Linked DNA regions of Bombyx mori. The protein of the gene in region 1 binds, or shares a complex with, the protein of each later gene. Links are inferred from orthologs where the notes say so. Each region holds a gene or a part of one and is shown in the gene's direction. Other genes may lie near its edges.

The links.
Region 2: probable cleavage and polyadenylation specificity factor subunit 2 (region 1) and cleavage and polyadenylation specificity factor 73 share a complex: the UniProt entries of both Homo sapiens proteins name them as parts of the cleavage and polyadenylation specificity factor (CPSF) complex. The link is inferred for Bombyx mori from reciprocal best matches to the Homo sapiens genes CPSF2 and CPSF3.

The regions. Positions count from the first base shown.
Region 1 is NC_085131.1:11,907,050-11,911,600, reverse strand, and holds the start of probable cleavage and polyadenylation specificity factor subunit 2, read left to right. Parts: upstream 1-1,710; 5' UTR 1,711-1,899; coding exon 1,900-2,048; intron 2,049-2,975; coding exon 2,976-3,241; intron 3,242-4,134; coding exon 4,135-4,380; intron 4,381-4,551. Other genes in the region: sterile alpha motif domain-containing protein 1-like, read right to left, coding at 1-100. UniProt on the Homo sapiens protein: Component of the cleavage and polyadenylation specificity factor (CPSF) complex that play a key role in pre-mRNA 3'-end formation, recognizing the AAUAAA signal sequence and interacting with poly(A) polymerase and other factors to bring about cleavage and poly(A) addition.
Region 2 is NC_085125.1:202,197-206,025, forward strand, and holds part of cleavage and polyadenylation specificity factor 73, read left to right. Parts: exon of another isoform or gene 1-1,358; intron 1,359-1,639; coding exon 1,640-1,769; intron 1,770-1,978; coding exon 1,979-2,154; intron 2,155-2,229; coding exon 2,230-2,370; intron 2,371-2,450; coding exon 2,451-2,559; intron 2,560-3,829. UniProt on the Homo sapiens protein: Component of the cleavage and polyadenylation specificity factor (CPSF) complex that plays a key role in pre-mRNA 3'-end formation, recognizing the AAUAAA signal sequence and interacting with poly(A) polymerase and other factors to bring about cleavage and poly(A) addition.

The DNA.
Region 1 (4,551 bases):
CGGAAATTGGTAATGCCGTCTTTCTTCTCCCCCTCTTTTTCCCCGCCGATGGTTTGGTGGGACTGATTATACCCGAGTCGCTGGCGAGCGCAGAGCGCATCGAGCCGGCGATCGGGGAACACCTCGGTTCGACGGGAATTCCGCTGCCCGTCGCACAGCCCCCTTCATCCTGACAATTGTTGCCCCCCCCAGAGTACGTGGGGCAGCGTGCTTCCACTGAGGTGGAAGCACGGAGGGATTCTCCGCCCGACTCGCGGGCGGTACCCTCCTGGGGTACAAACTTTTTACAATGTGCCATCATATATTGCGTTTTTATTAACCAGGGGTTTGGTCCCCTGGGATCTATGACACCCTCGGGACTGGAAACCCTCCAGCCATACATCCCATCGCCGGGTGTCGAGCTTGGGATTAGGGCATTTTTGAAGAGGTTTGCATCCTCGCGGCTTCGACCAGTAAAGGCAGAAGCCCCCGTTCCCCATGACTGGGGTTTACGGTTTGGCCGACGGTGGCCGAAGCCTGTCCATCGCCCACAACGCGGTGCGGAGCCACGCCGGCGAACCGGTACCTCCCATATCTGGAAGGCCTTCCCCTGTAGCCGAAGCCGGGGACATGGCAACCCGCAGCCGGAAGACACCAAAGTGCCGCTGGCTCACCAGGCTCCCGAGAACCAACCCCTCATCCCCAGAATGGAACTCTTTGTCAGTGCAAAGGGCGTGGGGAGAAGGTCCCTCGCTCCCTCTCAAGGCATCCCCCGCAGAATGCGAAGGCGGCCGAGGAGAGCTGGGCGCAGTTCTCTTAGTCGCGGCGTCCCACACAGATTCCTCTGCACGCGATTTTAGGGACGCACGCTTAAGCCCCACCGCCACGACAAGGCGGAACTACATTCGGTGGGGCGCTTACAGGTCATGGGATAGAGTCTGCAGAGAATAAACGCGGCACGGTCGCGGACTGATTTTATATGTGGGCGAAATGTCATGGATGCATCCAGGGCGACAGGGTGTGATCGGGGGTGTGATATTTCTTCTCCTAATACGGAAGGAAATAAGCGATGAGTTTCTCCTTTGAAATAACATTGCTGTGCTTTTCGCTGGGTTGATATCTATGCGCCATTTTCAGAACCACTGTTCGAGGGTTAATGCTGCACTCTGGAGCTTACTCGCGATTAGAGACTTGTTTCTACTCGAGTAGTAAAGGGTTGTGTCGTCGGCGAAGAAGGCTAAATGGGTCGGCAGCGACCGGGGAATGTCGTTAATAAATAAACTAAATAGGAGTAGAGAGAATACTATTCCTGTATTCCTGTTTGTCATTTCGTAAAATATCCCCTATGATAAATGAATGAGTGAAGTTGTCTGATTTGTTTTATTTTGTCTATTTAGTGTTTCTTCAGGCTTAAATACGTAATAACGGTGGCTTATTAACTGTTTAATAGCTGTGAAAGTGCACAAATGTGGAATAAAAAATACAGCCGCTGGACGTAGCTTCTCGGGATTCTCCAAAAAGCCCACTAAAAAAGTCTCAGTAGTAAATAACCACCATTTTACTGAGATTATATTATTTCATCTCATATCATCTCATCTCATTTCATTTAATTTCATCTCAGTTGATTAATGTCTCAAATTAATCATTTTCATGTAATTTCACCCCATATTATCATTTTTCATAAAAATAATAATATAAATTAAAATAAGACTTGACTTAAAGGTCTTAGTTACCAGGTCATAAAATTCCTTAAAAAAACAATTCTAAAGAGTTTAGCTAAACAAAAACGTCTTTAAAAATATAATTTACTAATAAATGTTATATCATTCGGCATTCTAATTGAACAATCACTACCGTACCTGCATTAAAACAAAATTAGATAATTATAATATGCAGTAAACTACCAAATAATAGTACAAAATGACTTCAATAATTAAATTACATTGCTTATCTGGTGCTGGTGAGGAAACTCCTCCGTGCTATGTGCTCCAAATAGATGAATTCAAATTCCTCCTGGATTGCGGATGGGACGAGAAATTCGATATGGTTTTCATTAAAGAACTTAAAAGGTTAGTTTTTAGGTTATGTTTCGAAGAATAAAAAAAGTATACAATAATAAAAAATAACGTTCAACATACAGCGATCCCAAGCTATATATATTCGCCAATATATACAGAACACGGACAAACACACCTTCACCCCGAATATCAAATACTACAGACGAACTCTCACCAGGATTCCAGTCCGTTGTTTTTATACTAAATAAACACTATCAACGGTGCGATTACCATAACAGCACAGTTCTGCTTTGAAACCACTACCGATAGCCACTAATTCCACACGTTAAATTGGTGTTCTTCAATCATAAACTTAAAAAACACACTTAACTTTATTTCTCGGTCCTGATGCCGCCTTTGCCTTGACACAGGACTAAACATAATATTTATATTAAAAAAATGTTACTCCTGTAATAAAATAAACATGAAAGTAGATTTGAATATGAGACAGGGTGTCCTAAAAAGTATTGGATAGGGCTGATCGAAAAAAAAACATCCAGCATTGGCATAATGTGGGCAAGAAGAAAAAATTATCATCCAATTACAAAAAAAAAAAACATTTGCTAGGAACAAAACTTATACTTTAACAAATTTTACTAGAATATATGAACTAGTACTTACATTAAATACATAATTACTATTTTAATGTTTATACGTAAAACAGATAAATTTTGCAAAATATAGAAGTACAGAAATTTTTAATTTGTTTGTGTGGTAATTTCAGTTATTTTGGTTCACTATCTACTCTAATATTGTTTGCTTTGGTTTACCATGTAGATGTATTGTACTGTTAGGTTTATATAAAATAAAAGAGTCAATATTAATAATAAAATATTCATTTAATTATGTACTCATCATATATCTATTGTGTATCATCACTTTGTGTATAATAATAAACCAAACTTTGGTACTGATATAAACACATTTTATTAATTTCAGACATGTAAATTCAATAGATGCTGTACTAATATCACACTCGGATCCTCTACATTTAGGAGCTCTTCCATATGCAGTTGGAAAACTCGGTCTTAGCTGTCCAATATATGCAACTCTACCGGTATACAAAATGGGGCAGATGTTCATGTACGATTTATACCAAGCCCATAAGAATGTGTCCGAGTTCGATTTGTTCACACTGGATGATGTTGATATGGCTTTTGACAGAATCGTACAGTTGAAATACAATCAGAGCATTGAAATGAAAGGTAATAACAGAATTTATTTACATTTGCAGTTGTTTCTGTTATGCTTCTAATATTTATGCTATATACACACCTAGTTTTTTTGTTTATTGCTTGATCAGACGGTATACCTGTCTAGTGTTAAGTGATTACGGAAACCCAAAGACATCTAAAACTTAAATTGTGCCACCTACCTTGAGACATGAGTTAGTTCTAATGTTTTACAGTACAATGCATGCCCTACCCTTCAATCTGAAACGCATTCCTGTCTCACGGCAGAAATAGGCAGGGTGACAGTAACTACCTGTGTGGACTCACAAGACGTGCTGCCACAAGTTTAGAGAAGAGAGGTCACAATAAATATTCAATAAAATATATGCAATAAAATATTCATTTAACTTGTCTATGCTTAACACCCTACACAAAAGCAGTCAAGAAAGCCAATCAGCAAGAACACCAAATCACAGCCAGACTAGTAGTCTATAGGAGTATTAAAAACTTTCAGATTGTCTTAAGCACTTTAGAATAGTCCTCATCCTCATCAGTGTGCTTGCTATGAGTACAACATGGATTCTTCTTTTTTCTCCAGCTTGTTCCACTAGGTGGGGTCGGCACAGCTAATTTTTCTCTTCCATTCTCTTCTATCAGCCGTCATCTTAAAACTCACTCCTCTCTCTCTCTCTCATATCGTCATTCACACACTACATCCATGTCTTCTTTGGTCGACCTCTTCCCCCTCTACCTTGCACTACCATTTCTATACATCTCCTGGATTTACAACATGTTGAATGGTACAACATGGATTATTGTTTTAAATCTCAATAATATTTTTTTTTTTTCTCTAAAGTGCTAAAGACTCAATACTCACAAAAATCAATTCTTTCATTTAATTTCTTAACTAAATTTGCTTTTCCTAGGAAAAGGTCTAGGTCTCCGCATTACACCACTCCCAGCTGGCCATTCCCTTGGTGGAACAATATGGCGCATATCCGCCCCCGGCGAGGAAGATATTGTTTACGCGCCTGACTTCAACCACAAGAAAGAGAGACATCTGAATGGATGTGACATCGAAAGACTGATGAGACCCTCTCTGATGCTGTTGGGAGCTATGAATGCTGATTACGTGCAACAGAGGAGAAGACTGAGAGATGAAAAATTGATGAGTTAGTGAATATACATATAAATGTTACGTCTTCGGATTTACTAGTAATACTTTACAACACATAAAAATTTATGGTCTAATAGATAAGTTGTCTGGTGCACTTATATGACAACCCTGTTCATCACACGAATATCTGTCCTATGTGGAAATCACACCCACCACCCGGCAGTTA
Region 2 (3,829 bases), on another chromosome or scaffold:
ATTATCTTTAGAAACGAGTTCAAATGGTATTTTAATATGACCACGAGCTTCAACTGTTTTGTTGCGTCGCATCCGTCAACGGTCTGTGCTCTGTACAGTACACCGCCGTGCCGTATGGTTATTGACATCGGCAGTACAGCAGACGACAGGAGTCTGTAGACAATGCGCCGCGCCGCCGAGCCGGACCCTTGGCGCGAGCCATTTAATCCACACGTAAATCACCTGAACCATACCATCTATCTTCTATCTATATGTATAAGAATGAATTGCTGTTCGTTAGTCTCGCTAAAACTTGAGAACGGCTGGACCGATTTGGCTAATTTTGGTCTTAAACTATTCGTGGAAGTCCAGAGAAGGTTTAAAAGGTAGATAAATATGAAAATGCTTGGAATTAAACAAAAATAACAATTTTGTTTTTCATTTCATGTGTCCCCCGTCGGACGGATTCCTTTTGTTTGTTTTAAGTTTATTTAAAAAAAAGTTTAGGTCTTTTATATCGATTTAGGCACTGCGAAGTCTGCCGGGCCGCTAGTTTATTGATATAAATTAAAAATCGTTTCACGTAATTTGTCAAGCACAATGTAATGAGTTATTTGTATTATGTTGATTAAGAAGAAAGAAAAGCAACGTTAATCAATACGTTTTAGTAGTGCCATATTTCATGATGTTTTGCAATCAATGTATGTATGAGTGACACCATCGATTCTGGGTTGAAGTTGTATTATATACCCGTAATTATTACGACGTGCCTCATTTGTGCTGGTCCCTGGGCTGGACTCATACATTTTTGCCCTGGGCCATTGATTTCTTGTATAGAAATTTATAAACAATGAAATATACAAAACTAATAGGTAATTTTAACATAATATAATATTTTTTTGTTAAGTTCACTTGTAAATTTAAACATATTCATTTTAATTTTCTTATTTACAGGTCTACGCCAATAAGGTTCTTACGTTGTCAGTATACCAACCACTTTTATAACAATAGCCACATGCATAACGACTACAAACAATATAAATATTTCAATAAAAAAATCTGATGTGTATTTTAATAAAACCGATTAATCACACAAGAGCACACGCACGGGAACCCCCAGCCGCCGAGGGGGCGGGGCGGGGTCTGTTGTCCTGGGGCATATGTCAACCGATTATTGCATGTGCATATTAATCATATGTGTGAAATCAGTAACATTTTAATATAAAAGAGAATACTGGCTTTTTATAATTATTTCTATAGACCAGTGTTTCCCAACCTTTTTGTGCCGTGTCCAACTGTAACATTTCTAAAATTTTTATGTCCCACATACATAAGAAATTGATTTGTTCACTTAAGAAGCATAAATGATAGATTTTAGGAAGAAATCACTATGAAATTGTTCTCAGAACACAATAAGTAATATTTCAAAATATATAATAAAAAACTGAATTGAAATTCAAAATAATTTTAATACAGATTTTCTATATTAATTTAGTGCGATTGCCCCCTTGTGGGGTGTGGGTCCCATGTTGTGAAACACCGATCTAGGCCGTACTTGTCAACCACACGCGTGTTTCTCGCATTTAACTTTATTTGCCGCCTCTCGACGACGCGCTCCCTCTATCCAGCTCGTTATTGTATATTGTGTCTCTGACTTCAGGGCATAGACCACTTTGAGGACATAGGGCCGTGCGTGATCATGGCGTCCCCGGGCATGATGCAGTCGGGACTGTCTCGGGAGCTGTTCGAGTCCTGGTGCACCGACCCTAAGAACGGAGTCATCATAGCGGGTGAGTCCGGCCGGAGCGTCCTCCTGACCGCAGCGACACGTCGCCAGCGCAGCGTATTTTATCAATTAATCTATAAGTGTAAAGTACATACATATATCGTGTTGTATTGCCGATACAAATGTGTTAATTCTTTATTAAAAGTAGTATAGCATCCGTCCGCGTACAACAACGTTGTAGTGGCGACACTCTCACGGTGAGGTCGGTGGCAGGTTACTGCGTGGAGGGGACGCTGGCGAAGACGATCCTGTCGGAGCCGGACGAGATTACGACCATGTCCGGCCAGAAGTTGCCGCTGCGGATGTCCGTGGACTACATCTCGTTCTCGGCGCACACCGACTACCAGCAGACCTCGGAGTTCATCAACATCCTGAAGCCGCCGCACGTGGTGAGTGTCGGCTGTAGTGTAGTGTAGTGTAGTGTAGTGCAGTGTAGCGGCGACTACAGCGGGCGCGGTGTGCAGGTGCTGGTGCACGGCGAGCAGAACGAGATGTCCCGGCTGCGCGCGGCGCTGGAGCGGGAGCACCGCGGCGCCATCCTCGTGCACACGCCGCGCAACACGCAGCCCCTCGCGCTCTGCTTCCGCGGAGACACCACCGCCAAGGTGCAGCCCCCGCCCCGCACCCCACCCCACCCCGCCCCGCACCCTCACCCCACGCGCTAATAGCACTGCTCGTCCCGCAGGTGATGGGCTCCCTGGCGGTAGACCCTCCCAAGGAAGGTCAGGAGCTGCAGGGCATCCTCGTCAAAAGAAACTTCAATTATCACATTCTGGCGCCCGCAGACCTCAACAGTAGGTTCACATTCCGTCTCCCGGTGTGCTCCGTAGTGTCAGGCCGCGTGATGGCGCGTGACGCTCGGTCAGGACGTGCGTCACGTTTATCAGTACAATAAATGATTATTGCTACAATATATGATTCAATTGCGTAGATAAACGTATATACAACATGTAACATAATTAACGCACACCCTGAAAGTAATTTGTTCAGAATCGGAATCTGGATCGATTTTGATTGTTTTTTATGACAAATTTTTTTTTTTAAAAATTGCGTTAAAACTAAGGAAAATACAGTCACCCTACACAGCTAGCTAAACAGTTCATAGAAACGAAAATGGAACGTAAGTCAGGGTATTAAGACTTTTTAAAATGAAATAACTAATTAGTAAAAAAAATTATTTAATTAAAGAAATCTGATACTTATTTCAAGGCTAATAGTCTATTACAAAATAAAATACCTACGCACACAATCACACAGCAACAGCAACACTAACACAGCAACACTACGATACATAAAAGAAAGCCATGTAATACAAAAATAATTACTATCCCTTTCTTTCGTCGGCTTAATATTCTTACAATAGAGTGAGATGGCAGGCTAATCCCGATGTTCGCGGCGAGCCCGGTTGCGTCGGCGGTGATCAAAGAAAAATCTAAACAACGAAGTAAAAAAAAAAATTTTTGACAAGTCACTCACGCCGCGTCCTCCTTATCGATAAGAGGTCAAGTGATAGTGCAAATAAAATATCTCCCGTATTTCGCTATGTCTTTTCGGTATACTAACGTTCAATACACAGAAATGGTGAGAACTTTGGCACGAAGTGATGATAATGTGGCACTAGCGTGTAGAATATTTAACGCGACATACGGTACTAGTGTAGACCGCCGCACTATGTTATCAGCAACACAACGGCTTCGAGACCACGGAACTTTTCGTCCAAACACGGCTATCGACAGGGGAGACAATATGCGTACACACACTCGTCTCCAAAACGAAATTCTCGATTATTTCGACGAAAATCCGCACAGTAGCACCCGGGAAGCAGCACCACGCTTTGGCTGTAGCCATATGCACATATGGCGCACGCTTAGTGGTGATGGCGAGCATCCATTCCACCTCAGGTGATGCCAGGAGCTGACGCCAAGTGACTACTTACCACGCTTAGAGTTCTGCCGCTGGTTATTACAAAATTGGCAGCGAAACATTATTTGGACTGACGAAAGTACATTCACACGTGTGGGAATGTACAATCGACATAACACGCATTTATGGATGCATGAAAAT